2 linked regions of the Lonchura striata genome follow. The protein of the gene in region 1 purifies or fractionates together with the protein of each later gene. This does not show direct contact. Links are inferred from orthologs where the notes say so. Each region holds a gene or a part of one and is shown on either strand. Other genes may lie near its edges. The genes, in order: organic cation/carnitine transporter 2 and YIPF3.

Region 1 (7,715 bases):
GCCAAGTACTGAGAACCTTTGAAGCTGAATGTGATTTTGTTTATATCCATACAAGTATTCTCTGCTTGTACTCTCTATTGAGAGCTGTGAGTGTTATTAAACACCCTTTCCTCTAAAAACACATTTGTATATTCAAAATACTTAAAAGGTCTGGATGTTACATTGAAAATTATTATCTAAAGCAAACAGAAGTCTGTGTCTACAAAATACGCATTCTGCTTAATTTTCACTCCTCTAGTTGTTTTACATTTTTTACAGAGATAAAGCTTGCATAGAACAGGAAGGAAATAGACCAATATTTTACAATTCCAGTGCAGAAATGGAACTGTTCCCCATACATCACATTTTTGAGATAGCTGGAGAGAAAGGAAACAAGGGCACTGCCATCACCTGAGGTAAGTTTGAATTTAAAAGTAAAGGCAACATAAAGGAAATTTTACCTTGTCACTAACTGTCCACAGTGCCTCTAAAAGAGCACTGTTTCCATTTAACAAGATCAATTGCAGGCCTACTATTCTTTAACAATGTTAACCTTACTTTATGTTGTGATGTCAGAAATAGCTGTACTTTTTACAATTCCAAACACTACTGCATGATGTGCTTTTTAAATCACACCTTGAAAAACCCAGCATTTTGCGAATACCTTTGTTTATTTGTCAGACATTTGTATTTACTTACTAAACGAAAACCAGACTTTCTTTTCCTTCTTCTGACAAGACTAGTAATACTAAGCTTTTGCAAAGCTGCAAACGGCTTTTTCAGCTCCTAGGGCTCCAAAGTTATGAGTATAAACTTCATCTACAGTGATAAGCAGATATTAACCCACAACAATAAAAAAGAAGCACCTGTTTTAAAAGATGATAAATAATGGAGGTGACTAACATTAATGAAAAGATGGGTGAGAGCTGAACCTGGATAACACAAGGTTGATTTACAATTCAGCTGCTGGCCCCACTCCTGCAACAGCCTGGTCTAAAGCAAGGTGTCCCTAAAGGAAGGGGGTTGAAATAGGTGATATTTAAGGTCCCTCCCAATCAATAAAAAACAGTCTATGATTCTATGACTCTATAAATTACAACATCTAGCATAAGTCTGTGTTTTTATTTTGGCAAAGTGAAACAATACATCCCTCTGTCTTCCAGCAGGGTGAACATGGAAACCTCTGGATACCCAGCTGTGCCCCAGAGCCCATTGGTGTCCTGCACATGTCACTGCTGCAGTCTCCCCTGGCTTCCTGCAGCCCTGGCATAACCCACTCATCTCCAGGGCCTGTGGTCTGACAGCACAGCAGGGCACTTGGATCCCTGGGGTGTGCAGAATGGAAACCTCTGGGCCCTTGTCTCTGCCCAGAACTTTCCCTCTCTGAACACCCAGACAGGATGGAGCACCAGCCCTGCACATAACCAGCCTCTAGACACCTGGCAATTCCCACCATGTCATCCTTCCTCTGCAAAAGCCAACAGGCCCAAAAGTTTGCCAACAGCAAAACAGGCACAAAGCATGCAAAAATCTGGCATACACCACCTGCACTGATTTCAAGCTGATGAACAATACAACACCTTTTTAGAAGCTAAGGATGAATAGGTGTATCCAAAATTCAGCATCTGTTTATGGTTCACTGTTTAAGAATTACTCTTGTGTGAACTAAAATGTTCTGACTGATGTATCATCTAACACCTCATTATATCATATTTCTAGTGCACTCATGCCCTTAACTGCACTGCTGAATTCTACTCCTGGTATAGCCCCATAACAGCTCTGACTGCTAGAAGTTAATATTTTCCCTTAATTACTCCTGGTTTAGTCCTTTTACTACCATGTATAAACTTTTACCATTCCTACATTCATTTTTTTACACAGACTTATGGAGGAATTAGAATGACACAGTTGGTTTCTTGAGCCAAAATAAAGCCCTTCTTATGCCCTGAGCTACAGCATTTCAAAAAGTAAAAGACAGAAAGGGATTCTGTTACACCAAGCTGGTTAAATACTGCAGACTGGCTAATAATAACCTTCTGTTGTTAGTCTGTGAGAAAAGAAAGTCTCTCTTCAAGTAGGAGAGAACTGAATGTTTTAAGTCTCCCCTGAAAAGCAGAACCATAAACAAGGTTTCTCTAAAGTCATGAGAGATTCAGCAAAAACCTTTCTTAATAAAAAAAAATCCCCCTTCCCCCTCCCAGTGTCAGCTATGGAAATCTGGGACAAAGGTCCTCATGATTATTCAACATGTTAGAGATATGCAACTAAACACAAGATTAGTTAATCATAAAAGCAGCACCACCAAGCCAAGAAATTAAACAAGTTAAACACTGAAAACCTGTAAGTGTGTGAAAGGCCACAGCTCTTTCAAAACTCCCTCAGATGCATTCATATTAGAGGAGAAAAAAATACTGCCTCAGTGCATGATGCCTGGGCAGACAAACATTGCCTCCCACGGGCACGGGACATCTGCCAAGTCACACAGACAAGGAGCCAGGCCTGGGCAGTCTCAGCACTGTGTGTGAGCAGCACCCTTTTCTTATAGACTGTAAAACTCCTGCACCATACTCCAATAGCTCAAGACATTTTCATTAACATCAAGCCAAAGCTGAGTGAAGCTCTAAAGAGAAAGCACTAGATCTAAGCCAGGATCACAGCACAGCACTGGGAACACCCATGTGCCCCTGTGAAAGGTCTGCCCCAGAAGATGCCAACTGCCTGACACTGCCCTGAGAGTACTCAACCTTTCACAACAGCCTTTCCAGCAAAGACTGGAGCTGAGACATTCCCAGCAGCTTTCCTCTCCAGTAAAACAGCAATTCTTTAGGAGCAGATGAGGCAATGCCTTGCACTTGTCAGAATCATTCAAACCCTTGACTGAGTTTCCTACAACTCCTGTGTCACCATTTCTAATCCTCCTTGTGCTGCCATGGCTCCTTAGTGCCCAGATCAGCTTATGGTCCTTTAGTTCTCACACCCATCACTGTCCAAACACTGACCACAGCCCTATTTGCAAAACAAGAAATCATGGCAGGTTTGTTATGGAGCTCCAGCTCCATAAAACTCAATGGGACTGTACAGGCTTTGTGAGCCTTCTGAAAAAGGCCTATACTTGTATTGAAACTCAAGTGTTCCTCAAAAGTACTTCTCAAAACCCATTTCCTTGCTTCTGTGGGTCTGCACAGCTTTCATCTGAAAGCAGTGACAAGCAGCTCAGCTTCACCTTTGGTAAGGTTACCCACAGCCCAGACTTGATGCAAGCGGTGTACCTGCACAGACACAAACATGACCTGTCCCAGCACGTGAGCACAGAGACCAAAGCAGAGGCACTGTGGGCACACAGTTCAGAGTCCTTTGAATAAAGCATCAAACCAGGCCTCCCCAACCCGTGCATCTTGCACAACTCAGGGTGACGCTAAACTGTGAGAGTGGTGACACACTGGCACGGGCTGCCCAGAGAAGCTATGAATGCCCCATCCCTACAAGTGCTCAAGGCAAGGCTGAACAGGGCTTGGAACAAGCTGGTCTAGTGGAAGGTGTTCCTGCCAGGGGGTTGGAACTAGATGTTCCTTAAGGCCCCTTCCAACACAAACCACCCTGTGATCCTATGAGTTCTACCACCTTTATTTTTTTAAAGAAAGAAAATAAACATAAAACTTGATGTTCAAAAAGACATCTCTATCACACCAAGCTGAACCCAGTGCTGACCCTGCTCCAGCCCCTTGCACGGATACCCGATGAACCAAGATTTGCAGAGTGATCAGTTTCGCTGGGTAAGGAAACAGGTTTCACTTGGAAGCTCATTATAGAAACAAACAATGTTAAGGGATTGGAATGGACATTATAAAGATCATTCAGTCCCTGCCACGGACAGGGACACCTCCCACTAGAGCAGGTTGCTCAAGGCCTTATCCAACCTGGCCTTGAACACTGGAGATCCACAACCTCCCTGGACAACCTGTTCCAGTGTCTCATCACCCTCACTATAAAAATTTCCTTCCTCGTTCTTATGCAAATGACAGTGAACAGAAGACCCCAGAATAAACTCGGCATGGCAGGTTTAGCAGCAGATCAATGAGCCGGCAGAGAACGCGGCGGAGCTGCAGCGGCACTGCGATAACCCCGCGGCTCTCCCGGCACGCCGGGATTCCCCTCCCGCTCCCGCGCACCTCGGTGACGATGGTGGAGCGATAGACATCGCGGCTGTACTCCCAGCCGTCCAGGCACGGCTCCAGCTCCAGCGCCTCCAGCTCCACGTCGGAGCCGGGTCGCAGCCCCAGCGCCGAGAAGTTGGCGAGCGCGGCCAGGCGGTAGCGGCGGCAGCGGCTCGGCACCTCCTGCCCGCCCCGCAGCTCCAGCGGGATGCTGGCGTTGCGCCACTCGCCGCTCAGGTTGGCCCCGCGGGGCACGGCGCACCGGTGCTCGGGCGTGCCGGCCAGGAACACGATGGAGAGGCCGTTGAAGCCATTGGGAATGATGCTGGCGCTGAGCAGAAAGAAGACGAGGCGCTGGAAGAGGCCCCATTCGCCCAGGAAGGCGGTGGCCGCGTCGTAGTCGCGCATGGCGAGCGCGGCCGAGCTGCGGTGCCGCGGCTCCGAGAGGCGCGGGCAGGAAGCGGCCGCCCCGCTCGGCCGCGCGGCCCCGCGCCCGGCCCGGCCCGGGGGCGGGCCCGGGGAGGCCGCGCCGCCCGGCGGGGCGGGCCCGGGGCGCTCCGCCCGGAGGCGCGGCGGGGGCTCGGCCGGGCCGGGCCGGGCCGGGCCGGGTGCGCCACACGCGGCGGGGCGGGCCGGGCCGGGCCGGGCCGGGTGTGCCACACGCGGCGGGGCGGGCCGGAGCCGGCCCTGCGCCCGGGCGCTTTGCGGCTCCCGCCGGGCCCAGGGCTGCGCGACGGCTGCCCTGCCCTTCGTACCTTGCAGTCAGGAACGGCCAAGAATTCCAAATCCAAAGTGGAGGTGAATTGTAGTCAATGAGGTTGGACAGGACCCCGCAGATCATCGCGTCCAACCTATGACCGAACGGCATCTCGTACCTCCCGTGGTGCCGCCGGTGCCACGTCCAGCGCTCCCTCGGACACGCGCGGGGCCGGGGCTCCGCCAGGGCCGTTCCCGCAGCGCCGGCCCGCGTGTGAACCCTTCGTGGGGAGCGCCTGCTGTGGGCTGGTACCGAGCCAGGAGCCTGCAGGCATTGCCCTGCCCATCAAAGCACGGCGGTGCTGCGAGCTCAGCAGTTAAAGGGCTCCTCTGTCACTCTGTGTCACTCTGTAGCACCTTCCCACAGCTGCCATTGTCCCTTCAGCAGGCTCAGCTGAAGCTGTAAAAAAGCTTTCCTGACCCTGACGCTATTTTCGCAGGCAATGCGTACTACATGCTTGACAAATAATAAATTTAATAAATAATATTCTAATCCCAGGCCCAAAATCCCAGCTCAGTACCTAGCGGTATAGGCAGGAAGTTCACAGAGTCCCATACAAGGCAGTTCAAAAGCTGAATTGCATGACTGCAGAAATTTGATCCTGCTCTTCATAAAGCTAACTCACATTTTCAAGTGTCTTCTTTTTCCCACCACTAACTGATAAAAAAAAAAATAGTGTACCTTTTACAGCATTTTTGAACACTTGTATTTAAAATGATCTTTTATCCCTGGGTTGGAATCACATGGTTGTGAAAAATCTCAAAGGTGGAAAATGAATGACATAATAGGAGTTAAATCACAAAATCATCCTTGAGCCTGGGTGGGGTCAGCTTCCAGGGATTTGCACCTGAAAGGCAGAAAAACTGTACCACGCCATTAAAATCTTCATGTGTGGAAGAACTTAGTCGGTGAAAGAGCTTATTTCAGGATTTTTTTTCATGCCCAATCCACGCTAAATACTTTTTCTTATTTATTTATTTAAAATTCTTGGCACCAAGTGTTTATGTTCGGAGACCTGCTCTTCAAATAGAATCCACACAGGACAAAGGTTGAAACAATGTCAGTGCACATTTTTATTGCAATGAAAACAGAGGGCGATGACTGACAATTACTACAATTTCATATAATTATTAGCAGACCCAGCAAGTCAGCTGAGGCCAAGGTTGCACAGAGAGACCCCAGTAAAGGTGACAGAGGTTACAGATGAGGCACAGGGTGATGACCCTGTCAGTGAGAACAATCCAGCTGGGGCTTCCCTCATTTCCACTATGCTCAGACTCCATAAGGCCTTGTAACAACATCACATAATTTTAATAAAGACATTCCACTCCCCTGAAAGATTATTAAATCTGCTGCAAAAAATACTATGTGATGCTAGCTTGAGATCAATGGTTTAAGTAAGAAAAATGAGACTGGTTATAACATGGTATTTTAAATACACTGTACTTTTTCTTATTTAAAAAAGGAAAAACAGGTTTTAAGATACTGAAAGGTTCAAGAGTACAAAAATATTTACCTTTTAGAAATACCCAAGCCTACAATCGCATAAAATAAGTCTCAAAATAACAATCTTCATAAAAATATGGCCACCTATATAAAACTCAAGTCCTCAAACCTGTCCTATGCTGATAAAAAGGCTCTCTTGAGAAATTTAGTTGCATCTAAACAATACTTCTTTAGATTAACTCTGTAAAAGTAAAAGCAAGATTAAATACTGCTGTTATTCGAGAAATTGACTAAGAAGGGATGAGAAGATCAGGAGTCACAGGTTCCCTTATGCCATGTTACATTTATGGCAAAAGCATAATTGCAGGAAATTAAAAATAGTATTTCAACTCCCAAAAGCAGCTTGAGTTAATTGCACAAGTTCCTTGCAGTTGTTATAAAGCTTTATATTTGTGCTTGAACTTCAGGGAGAGCCACATTCTTGTGCCAAGAGCCAGCACAAGACAATCTACCCTGAACTCAGGCATTAGAGATGAGACACTGTGCTTTTGTTAGCCCTTATAGAAGGTGAATCAGGGCTAATTGTTATTTATAGAGGATAAAAATCAGTCTATCAGGTCTGATAGACTATAAGTGACCAATAAGTGCACATACAGCCAATAAATACAAAAACAAGAGGAATTACACTCTTCAGACAATGTAGTGTTCATAAAACAGTAGTAGCACAACTCTGAGTTCTACGTTTATCTTCATCCAATCTAGCTTTGCTGAACTCAAAAAAACCCAAAAAAACCCAAAACATACATAATCTGTAGGATTTGAAAAACAAAACACTGGTTTTGTTGGTGTTTGGGGTTTCTTTTAATATAAAAACCTCTGTGGTCTCAAATTAGTCCTTTTGAATTTTTAATAGCCGCAGGTGACCATATCCAGTACAGAAAATCAGATTTTTGTGAGCATCTAATTGTCTTTAAGTTTGTAAATCTTATAAAGGTTTTGTGAATGCTTTTGAAACTGCAGTGAGGGTTCTCTGAAGGTGCAGAACAAAGTGGTATATATTCAAAGGAGAAATTAAATACTTTGGGAAAAAGAAAAAACAACACCCCAAGAGAGCTAAAAAACAGCTTATGCTCATATACCACGAAAAACCTGAAAGCTATAATGCATGGAAGGTTGGGATAGGATCATGGACTTGCTACAGCTGACTCTTCTGTTCAAAGTGGGTGTGACCCACCAGAAAGTCAGCAAATTATAGTCCTTACTCAGTGCTCAAGATTTTTCCCCTTCCCCAAAGCCACTGAAGATTCACAAAGCTGAGGGTTCTGGGTGGGCTCAGGCTTTATGAAAGAGCAGCAGCTTTTACAGGAACAGGGGGATCC
Region 2 (7,715 bases), on another chromosome or scaffold:
GATGGGGGAAGAGTGCAGCTCTTCTGAGTCACTGAGGTGTGACTCACTTCCACTGAGTCCACTCAACTGCCCAAAACCGCAATGCAGAGGACAGGTCCAGGAAAACAAAACCAAGTTGTCTTCTTGCTGTTCTGTCCTGTTCCTAACAGGCAGCAGGTTACTGTGGCCCTATGCAGCCCCAAAAGTAGTGAAGGAAGCAAGTCCAAGTCTGTAAAACTAGAGGGTCAATGCAATGGCTTTGGCTGTTGTGTTCAATACAGCATTGGAAACAGCTGGAATGTCTCGGGCAACTCTCTGAAAGGGCGGCATGTTGGGTCCTTCCAATGTGTCCAGGATACCTGGAGAACAGAAAAAAGGGGAGAAAAGCAAGAATTAATTCAGATGATAGCAGATAGCACATTTGTTTTTGCTCTTCTCTCTGTCCAGGTAGTGGTTGAGGGTGGCAGGGCCTGTACACATCAGAACTTGTGCTAGGGGCATGAAAGCTACATGCTCCCAAAAAGTACACAGATCCTTTTACTTTGAGGGTGTCAGACCCAGTCCCTGACATTTGACCTGAATGCAGGTACTGCCAGAGATGTTGCCCTGCTGAGGGAAATTGATAAAATCCTGTTTCTACTTCATTCCAGCACAGATCTCACTCTTAGACCAAGACTTTCTTTTATCCTGAAATACACTTGCAGACTCACATCAGGAACTGCAGCTGTGCTGCAATGTGGAATTTTTGTCACTGCAATGCAAACAGACCATGCTTGGCAGGAAATACACAGACCAATGCAAATGTCCTCAATTCTCTGTCAATTACCCTCTCAAGATTGATAATCAGTTTTGGAGTGCTTTGAGGAAAATTGCCTGGAGTATATTTTATTCTATTTTATCTGCCAGAAAGCTACAGGTCAGAACCTTTGCCATAAAAACAGATTCAGGAAGGACAGGATTTATATCCAAAAGGACTTGTAATGATATTATGCTAATTACGCAGATTTATCAAAAATATCACAAACACTGCCTAAACTGGCTGCCTAAACTCATAATAGACACTTGCAGAATTGCATATTTAGGGATCTGGAAACTCTCTAGAGATGGGGTAGGAGAAGAGTTCTGGTTTTGTTTGGTTTTTTTTTAAGGAAGTTGAAATTTTGTTAGGAGAAAAGAAGAAGAGATAGAAGGAGGACATGAAAATCCATGGCCTGGTTAACAGTACCAGCTGGGGAAGATATAGCTTCTGCTATCTGTGCTATACAACACAAGATACAATAATATGTTCAACAAAGAAGTAAAAACGTATGATACATTTCCTGATCAGAGAAAACCAACCTGACTTCAACAATATTCAGGAAGGGGCTGGACATCTGCATGCAAGAAGAGTCAGTGCTGTTACACTTCACTTGTGGAGAAATAATTACGATCCTGCCTCACAAATTGGGTCTTAAGTGCTAAAACTCAGTGCACAGCAACTACCCCAATGTTTACCTGCTGCCCTACTTGAACAGCTTCTTCTAAAAAGCTAGTGATAGTGATTTTAGAGTTGGAAACTGGCACAGATGCCCAAAAGGACAGATTCAAACTGTCCATCCTCTCTCTCAGAGAGAGAAAAAACAACTTCTCTTCCCCCAGATCTAACAAGATATCTTTGTATCTCCCTTGCTTACCTTCTACCACCTTGTGATAAGCAAAGTGCAGATAGAGGAGGAAAAGCATATGCAGAGCAGCAAGAGTCCCACACAGGATGAGCCGCTGGGTATGTCCCACGGTGCGTGAAACCAACACAGCAACCTAAGAGAGAGGAGGTGATCAGAGGCAGGGCACCTGCTACCTGAGCCGCTGGCACTGCAGTCAGAAACACATGGAAGAACAGGTCAGGCAGTGAGAATCTGCAGGAACACCACACTAAGTCTTTTTTGCAGTTTTCACCAACAAATTTGGAGAAATTTGACACTGTTTTGTATAGGTGAACATTGCCCAGTCTTGCCAAGAGTTCAGGATGCTCAGGCATGGCTCTCCACAGCAGCAAGAGCTGTAAGGGAGTAAATAAACCTCCTGCAGCTCTTAGAATGGGTGAGGATATTAATCCAAATAGCACTTCCATATAGCAGTGGCCAAATTATTCAGGAGCATCATTTTCTCCAGAGCAGTTCGTCTGGCTGTGAAATGAACCACCAGGCCAAGGAACAGAAAGCAAACACTTCCGTCCCTTTTTTTGTCCCAGAAAGACCCCAGGCTGCTTATCCCTTACCATCCGTAGTGTAGAGAGTCCACCAACAACCAACCAGAAGATATAGAAGAGGGAGTGGAAGTGAATATTATAGGTGACAAAGAGAGTGATGCAGTGTCCGAAAAGACCGTAGCCCTGACAAAACAAAAATGTCCATGTTAGAAGCACCGGTCCCACACAAAGGGCCATTGATCAAGAGCACAAACCGCCTATTCTTGCAACACTTCACCACAGCAAAGCCTCACAAACCACTCATTCACTGCCGAACAGTCAACCAGAACAACAACTTCAACAGCAGCTCACACACAGATAATCTAAAGGATTCACAGGCATGTCAGAGATTGTGACAACATGGGAAACAGAGGAAATATCCTCCAATCCCAGAGAAACTGGAGTTTCCTGGCTTTTTACCACCAGGTTCTCAAATCAGCAAGTTCAAAGCAGGAGACCTGCATAACGAACTGCCTCTTTGTACTATTGTTGTGCCTGGGATGGTGCAGGTCAGAAGAACATCCCAGAATTCCAGGTTGTCCCAGTGCAGTTACCTGGGACCAGCAGTTTACAAAAAGACTTTGCCTGTTTTTTGGGAAAAACTTATTCTGGAACACCATGCAGCCAGTGTGCATCATAGGGCAGCTCCATGAGTACATACCAATAGTGACAGCATCTGCACCATTGTGATTTGGGCATTGCACAGATATGCCAGGAAATACATGAAAGATGAGACACCCAGCCAGTAACCGAAGCAGGTGCCAATGGCTGTGCCCATCAACGTGCCTTCCCTCTGTGGAGACAGTGTCAGGATGAGGAGAACTCAAAGAAGTGACCTGCCAGTACCCAAATTAACCCATGGGAGTCCCGACACTTTGTAGGCATTATTAAACAGCTGCCCAGCAGCATTCAAGGGGCCACAGGACCTACACCCCAAGCTCTTCCAGCAGCATAGTGTCAAAACTTTCTGGTACATCCTTCTTCCCACCTCCAAACCAACATCCTCAAATCAATCTTCATTTCAGCAAGATGCTTATTCAGTTATAGAAGAGGTTTCCTCTCCTTTTCTAGTGTCATGGCAACCCAGAGCCCAGTCAAACCACCACTTATCACTGAAACTCGACGTACAATGATGGTGTCTGAGGTCTTCATTCCATGCAAAAGAATGGCCACCAGTGTGAAAACCAGCATGAGGGGTCCATACAGCTCGCCTGCAATCTTCTACAGGAGGAGACAGGTGAGGGAAAGTTTGGTTAGAGCCCCAGAATATCAGGGTTCCCACCACAGGTGATGTGAAAAGTGCACTGGATGAAGTTTAGCACCCAGGTTATCACCTGAGGTTAGGTGACAGCACGCTGAGGTTTGGAACAACCATGGGAAGGAGCCACCAACATTTTCAGGAAGAAGAACATCTAACAAACTTAGTCCTTAATAACATGGATTATTACAAGTTTTACAAGGTGTCTGTGGGACAGTCACTTGGCCATGGAGTCTGATTCAGCAAAAGGGAACTCACCTGTGGGAAATTAATCATCTTCACAGGAATCATGGACTCCAGCAGTCTGCATCACAGGAAAGCAGGGAATGACAACAGGAGCAGCGAGAACAACAGGAGAATTAACAAAATACTTCATAAGTAAAAGACACCATATACCCATTACCAGTGTTTGCTATTGTGTTGACAGCCTTTGAGGGACAGTGGATTCTTTCTAAAGGGTGAGTCAAGGTCACTAAAGAACGAAAACCTTCCTGTCAAGTGGGTTAACTTTGCTGAGGAGGGGCAGATTTAATGAAAATATTTAGGGATCCACTCAGGGATGAGAGATCATTGACAGAAGAGCAGGAAGGAAAGGCAAGTTTCCTCATAAAGTCTCACAAAACTTTGCTTCGTTGGACACAGCTGTGTTGCAAACCCAACAGAAGCCACATAGGGCAGCCAAGTACAAAAAGAGTCCCTTCTCCTACACTCAGCAGCAATGCCAGGTGACAGGGCTGCCAGCCCAAGCACAGCACCTCGCTAAGGCGGGCAGGACAAGGCACGATGTGTCTGCCCATAGGTGAGCGTTCCTGCGGGGGCAACTGGCGCTCGCTCGGGCCTGGCAGCCAGACTGCTGCGGGCTCGGAGCCGCTGCCTCCCCGCAGCCCACCTGGCTCGCACTTGGACGGGCTCCACATCGAAGTAGGGCCGGAGGATGTCGATGTTGGCGTAGAGGCTGAAGGCCCTGGAGGCTTGTCTCTTCCCCACCTGCCACATCTGCGGAGAGAAGGAGCGGGCAGCGGCCGGGCGGGCAGGCAGGACCCGGGGCCGGAGGCTGACGGGGGACAGCGCTCACCTGGTCAGCGACCTGCCGGCCCAGCTGCCCCCGCAGCCCCTTCATGCCCAGGAACTCCCCGTCCTCCTCCTCCTCGCCGGCGCCCGCCTCGCCCTCCGCCTCCTCCTCCTCCTCCTTCATGCGCTGGTGCATCTCCCCCATGTCCTCGAAGCTGGAGCCCGACGTGTCGTCCATGTTCTCCATGTCGATGACAGCGGAGCCACCACCCTGCGCCGGGGCAGACTCGGTGTCAGCACCCCCTCGGCCCGGCCCGGCCCCGCCGCCCCCGGCCCGGCCCCACCTGCATGTTGTCCTCGAAGCCGCCCCATTCGGCGGCGGGGGCGCCGCTCCTGCCGCCGCCCGCCGCCCCCGGCGCGGCCATGGCGCCGCTCCCGGCCCCGCCGCGCTGGCCCGGATGGGCGGGAGCGGATGTGACGGAGCCTCCCGGCGCAGCAGCACCGCCAGCAGCGCCGCCCATCGCGCTCATGGCGGCGCGGCGGGGCACGGACGAGATGCGGGACCGCGTGGTGCTGGGCGAGTTCGGCGTGCGCAACGTGAGCGAGCCCGGCGGGCGGGACGGGGCGGGGCGGCCGGCGCCCGCACCCCCTCACCCCCTCACCGCCCCGCCTTGCCCTCTCCCCGCAGGTCCACACCACCGACTTCCCCGGGAACTACCCCGGCTACGAGGACGCCTGGGACCAGCGGCGCTTCGAGGAGGTGGGTGAGCGGCGCCGGGCCGGGGCTGCCCGTGGGTACGGGGCCCTGCAGCCGGCTGACCCGCGGTGCGCGGCTCCCACAGGCGTTCCGCGTGGACGTGATCCGTGAGGAAGAGGACGCCCTGGAGTTCGACATGGTGGGCATCGACGCCGCCATCGCCAACGCCTTCCGCCGCATCCTGCTCGCCGAGGTACCTCTGCTCACCTGGTGGTGCCGGCCTAAGCCTGGCTTGACAGGGAGCGTGGAATGTCCAGCATTGTCAGCCCTTGCGGACAGCTGCGGGCTTTGGAAGAGAAGCACACGTTCGTTCCGCATGGGTGCCAGGAGCCCAAAGAGAATTAGGACTTTAGCAGCATGGGCAATAGCGCCTGCTGGTCCTAGGGGTGCTTTGGTAGTGTCTGCGGGTCAGCCATTTCAACACAGCTGCGTGGCCAACCCAACAGAAGCCACATGATGCTGCCAAGTACTAACAGGTTCAGGATGCCCCAAAGCCCTTTTTCCTGTCCTTCATCTCTTGATTGTTTAAAAAGACGGGGATAGGAATAGATGTGGTGTACGGGTATATTGCATAGCCTGATTTGGTAGAAATACCACTCAAAATAGTCTGCTTGGCAGTTATTTGTGGGAGAGGAGGGACACTTGAGCTGCATAATCTCTTGGCATGTAGTTCAACTATTGTCTTAAGCTGACTTGATCTCTTGTCTCCTTGAGGTGCCAACGATGGCTGTAGAGAAGGTGTTTGTGTACAACAACACATCCATTGTGCAGGATGAAATTCTGGCTCATCGGTTGGGCCTCATCCCTATCCGAGCTGACCCTAGGCTCTTTGAGTACAGAAACCAAGGTGAGAATCTTGAACAGAATAGAAATATTGAAGGTTTCTCTCAAAGTAGGAAATCAGGGTTGTGTAAACTGAGCAGAAGTGTGATTTCATATGCTTCTTCCCAGGAGATCAGGAAGGCACTGAAATTGATACTCTGCAGTTTCAGCTGAAAATCAAATGCAAACGAAACCCTCAGGCTGCCAAGGAATCATCTGATCCTGATGAACTATATTTCAATCATAAAGGTGAGATTGCTCCTAAAAATAGGTGCTGTTTTTTCTTTTTGGTTTTGGGCTGTTTTCTCAGCCCTGTGTGCTCACAGGGAGAGTTGATTCCATTCTGCTAAACTTTCTTTTTGCTATCTCCAGTCCTATACAGCAGCTGGCTGATGCTTGTGGCTTCTCTTTGCAGTGTACAGTAAACACATGACATGGGTGCCCCTGGGGAATCAGACAGACCTTTTCCCAGATGCTGACTTCCGACCTGTTCATGATGACATCCTCATTGCACTGTTGCGACCTGGACAGGAAATAGATGTGCTTATGCACTGTGTCAAGGGTATAGGTGAGTCGTGGCTCCTGGGGCAGCGGGAATGTTTGGAGTAGGGCACTGCAGTGTGATGGGGAAGGGTGGAGAACTGGCTTTTCCCCTGGAACTTCAGGCCTGAGCATCCTTGTTCCCTGAGGCCTGCTCTCATCCTTGACTCTTAACTCTTCATACAGGTAAGGATCATGCCAAGTTTTCTCCTGTGGCCACAGCCAGTTATCGACTGCTTCCTGACATTACTCTCCTGCAGCCTATTGAGGATGAGGCAGCTGAGATGTTGCAGAAGTGCTTCTCCCCTGGAGTCATTGAGATCCAGAATATCAATGGTACTTTTTTCCTGCGCTAACTGCCTTGTTCCTTGCAAGCTTTAGATTGGAGCTTAGAGCCAAACTTTGCAGAAACAAAACCACATGTAATGTTGCTGTGCTGATCAATGGTTCATGTTCTTCCGAGCCTACTTTTATGGATGAGTAGCTGCCATGTGCAGCATGTTGGGTGACAAACACGGATGTCCCTGAAATAAATTGGATACCTGTCCGCAGAGCTCTGCAGCTGTTGACTGCAGCTTGCAGTGCTGTTCAGTTGTGACACTGGGTAGTGAGCTGGAAAAGCAGCTGAGTGTGGAGACTTCTTGTATCTTTCTGGGGTGCATGTACGCTTTGTGTTTGGGTTTTCCTGCCAGGTTAGACTTTCATGTTGGGTATATGCTAATTCTTTTTATTGGTGTCTCCCAGCCTTTGGTGAGGAGGGAGTGCCTGTTTGAGGTAAGCACATGTTGTGACCATAAGGTATCCACCTGCTGCAATTTGTCCATCTCGTTTCATCTTCCCTTTAGGAAAAAAGGTGGCAAGAGTAGCCAATGCACGGTTGGACACATTCAGCAGAGAAGTTTTCCGACATGAGAGTCTGAAAAACCTCGTACGCCTGGCAAGAGTACGGAACCATTACATCTGTAAGTGCCTCGTTTTCCACAGAGTCCTGACATGGTTTGTGTGAGCAAGCAGTGACTGACCAGCATGCATGGCTGGCTCTGTGCCTCTTCCTACCCTCAGCATCCATACATTCAGAACGCAGTGAGTAACTACTTGCTTTGGGATTGAATCTCTTGGTG

Evidence for each region.
Region 2: the proteins of organic cation/carnitine transporter 2 (region 1) and YIPF3 purify together in Homo sapiens (co-immunoprecipitation; 3 studies listed by BioGRID and IntAct, counting the BioPlex papers as one, with this or other methods). This does not show direct contact. The link is inferred for Lonchura striata from reciprocal best matches to the Homo sapiens genes SLC22A5 and YIPF3.

What each region holds. Positions count from the first base shown.
Region 1 is NC_134617.1:10,714,161-10,721,875, reverse strand, and holds the start of organic cation/carnitine transporter 2, read right to left. Parts: upstream 4,607-7,715; 5' UTR 4,542-4,606; coding exon 4,149-4,541; intron 1-4,148. UniProt on the Homo sapiens protein: Sodium-ion dependent, high affinity carnitine transporter. Involved in the active cellular uptake of carnitine. Transports one sodium ion with one molecule of carnitine.
Region 2 is NC_134605.1:36,008,581-36,016,295, forward strand, and holds the start of YIPF3 (protein YIPF3), read right to left. Parts: upstream 4,915-7,715; 5' UTR 4,901-4,914; coding exon 4,820-4,900; intron 4,747-4,819; coding exon 4,540-4,746; intron 4,461-4,539; coding exon 4,354-4,460; intron 3,769-4,353; coding exon 3,723-3,768; intron 3,428-3,722; coding exon 3,335-3,427; intron 3,000-3,334; coding exon 2,868-2,999; intron 2,351-2,867; coding exon 2,237-2,350; intron 1,777-2,236; coding exon 1,653-1,776; intron 339-1,652; coding exon 217-338; 3' UTR 1-216. Other genes in the region: POLR1C (DNA-directed RNA polymerases I and III subunit RPAC1), read left to right, coding at 5,004-5,072, 5,164-5,235, 5,318-5,425, 5,947-6,079, 6,184-6,303, 6,470-6,622, 6,781-6,930, 7,440-7,556. UniProt on the Homo sapiens protein: Involved in the maintenance of the Golgi structure. May play a role in hematopoiesis.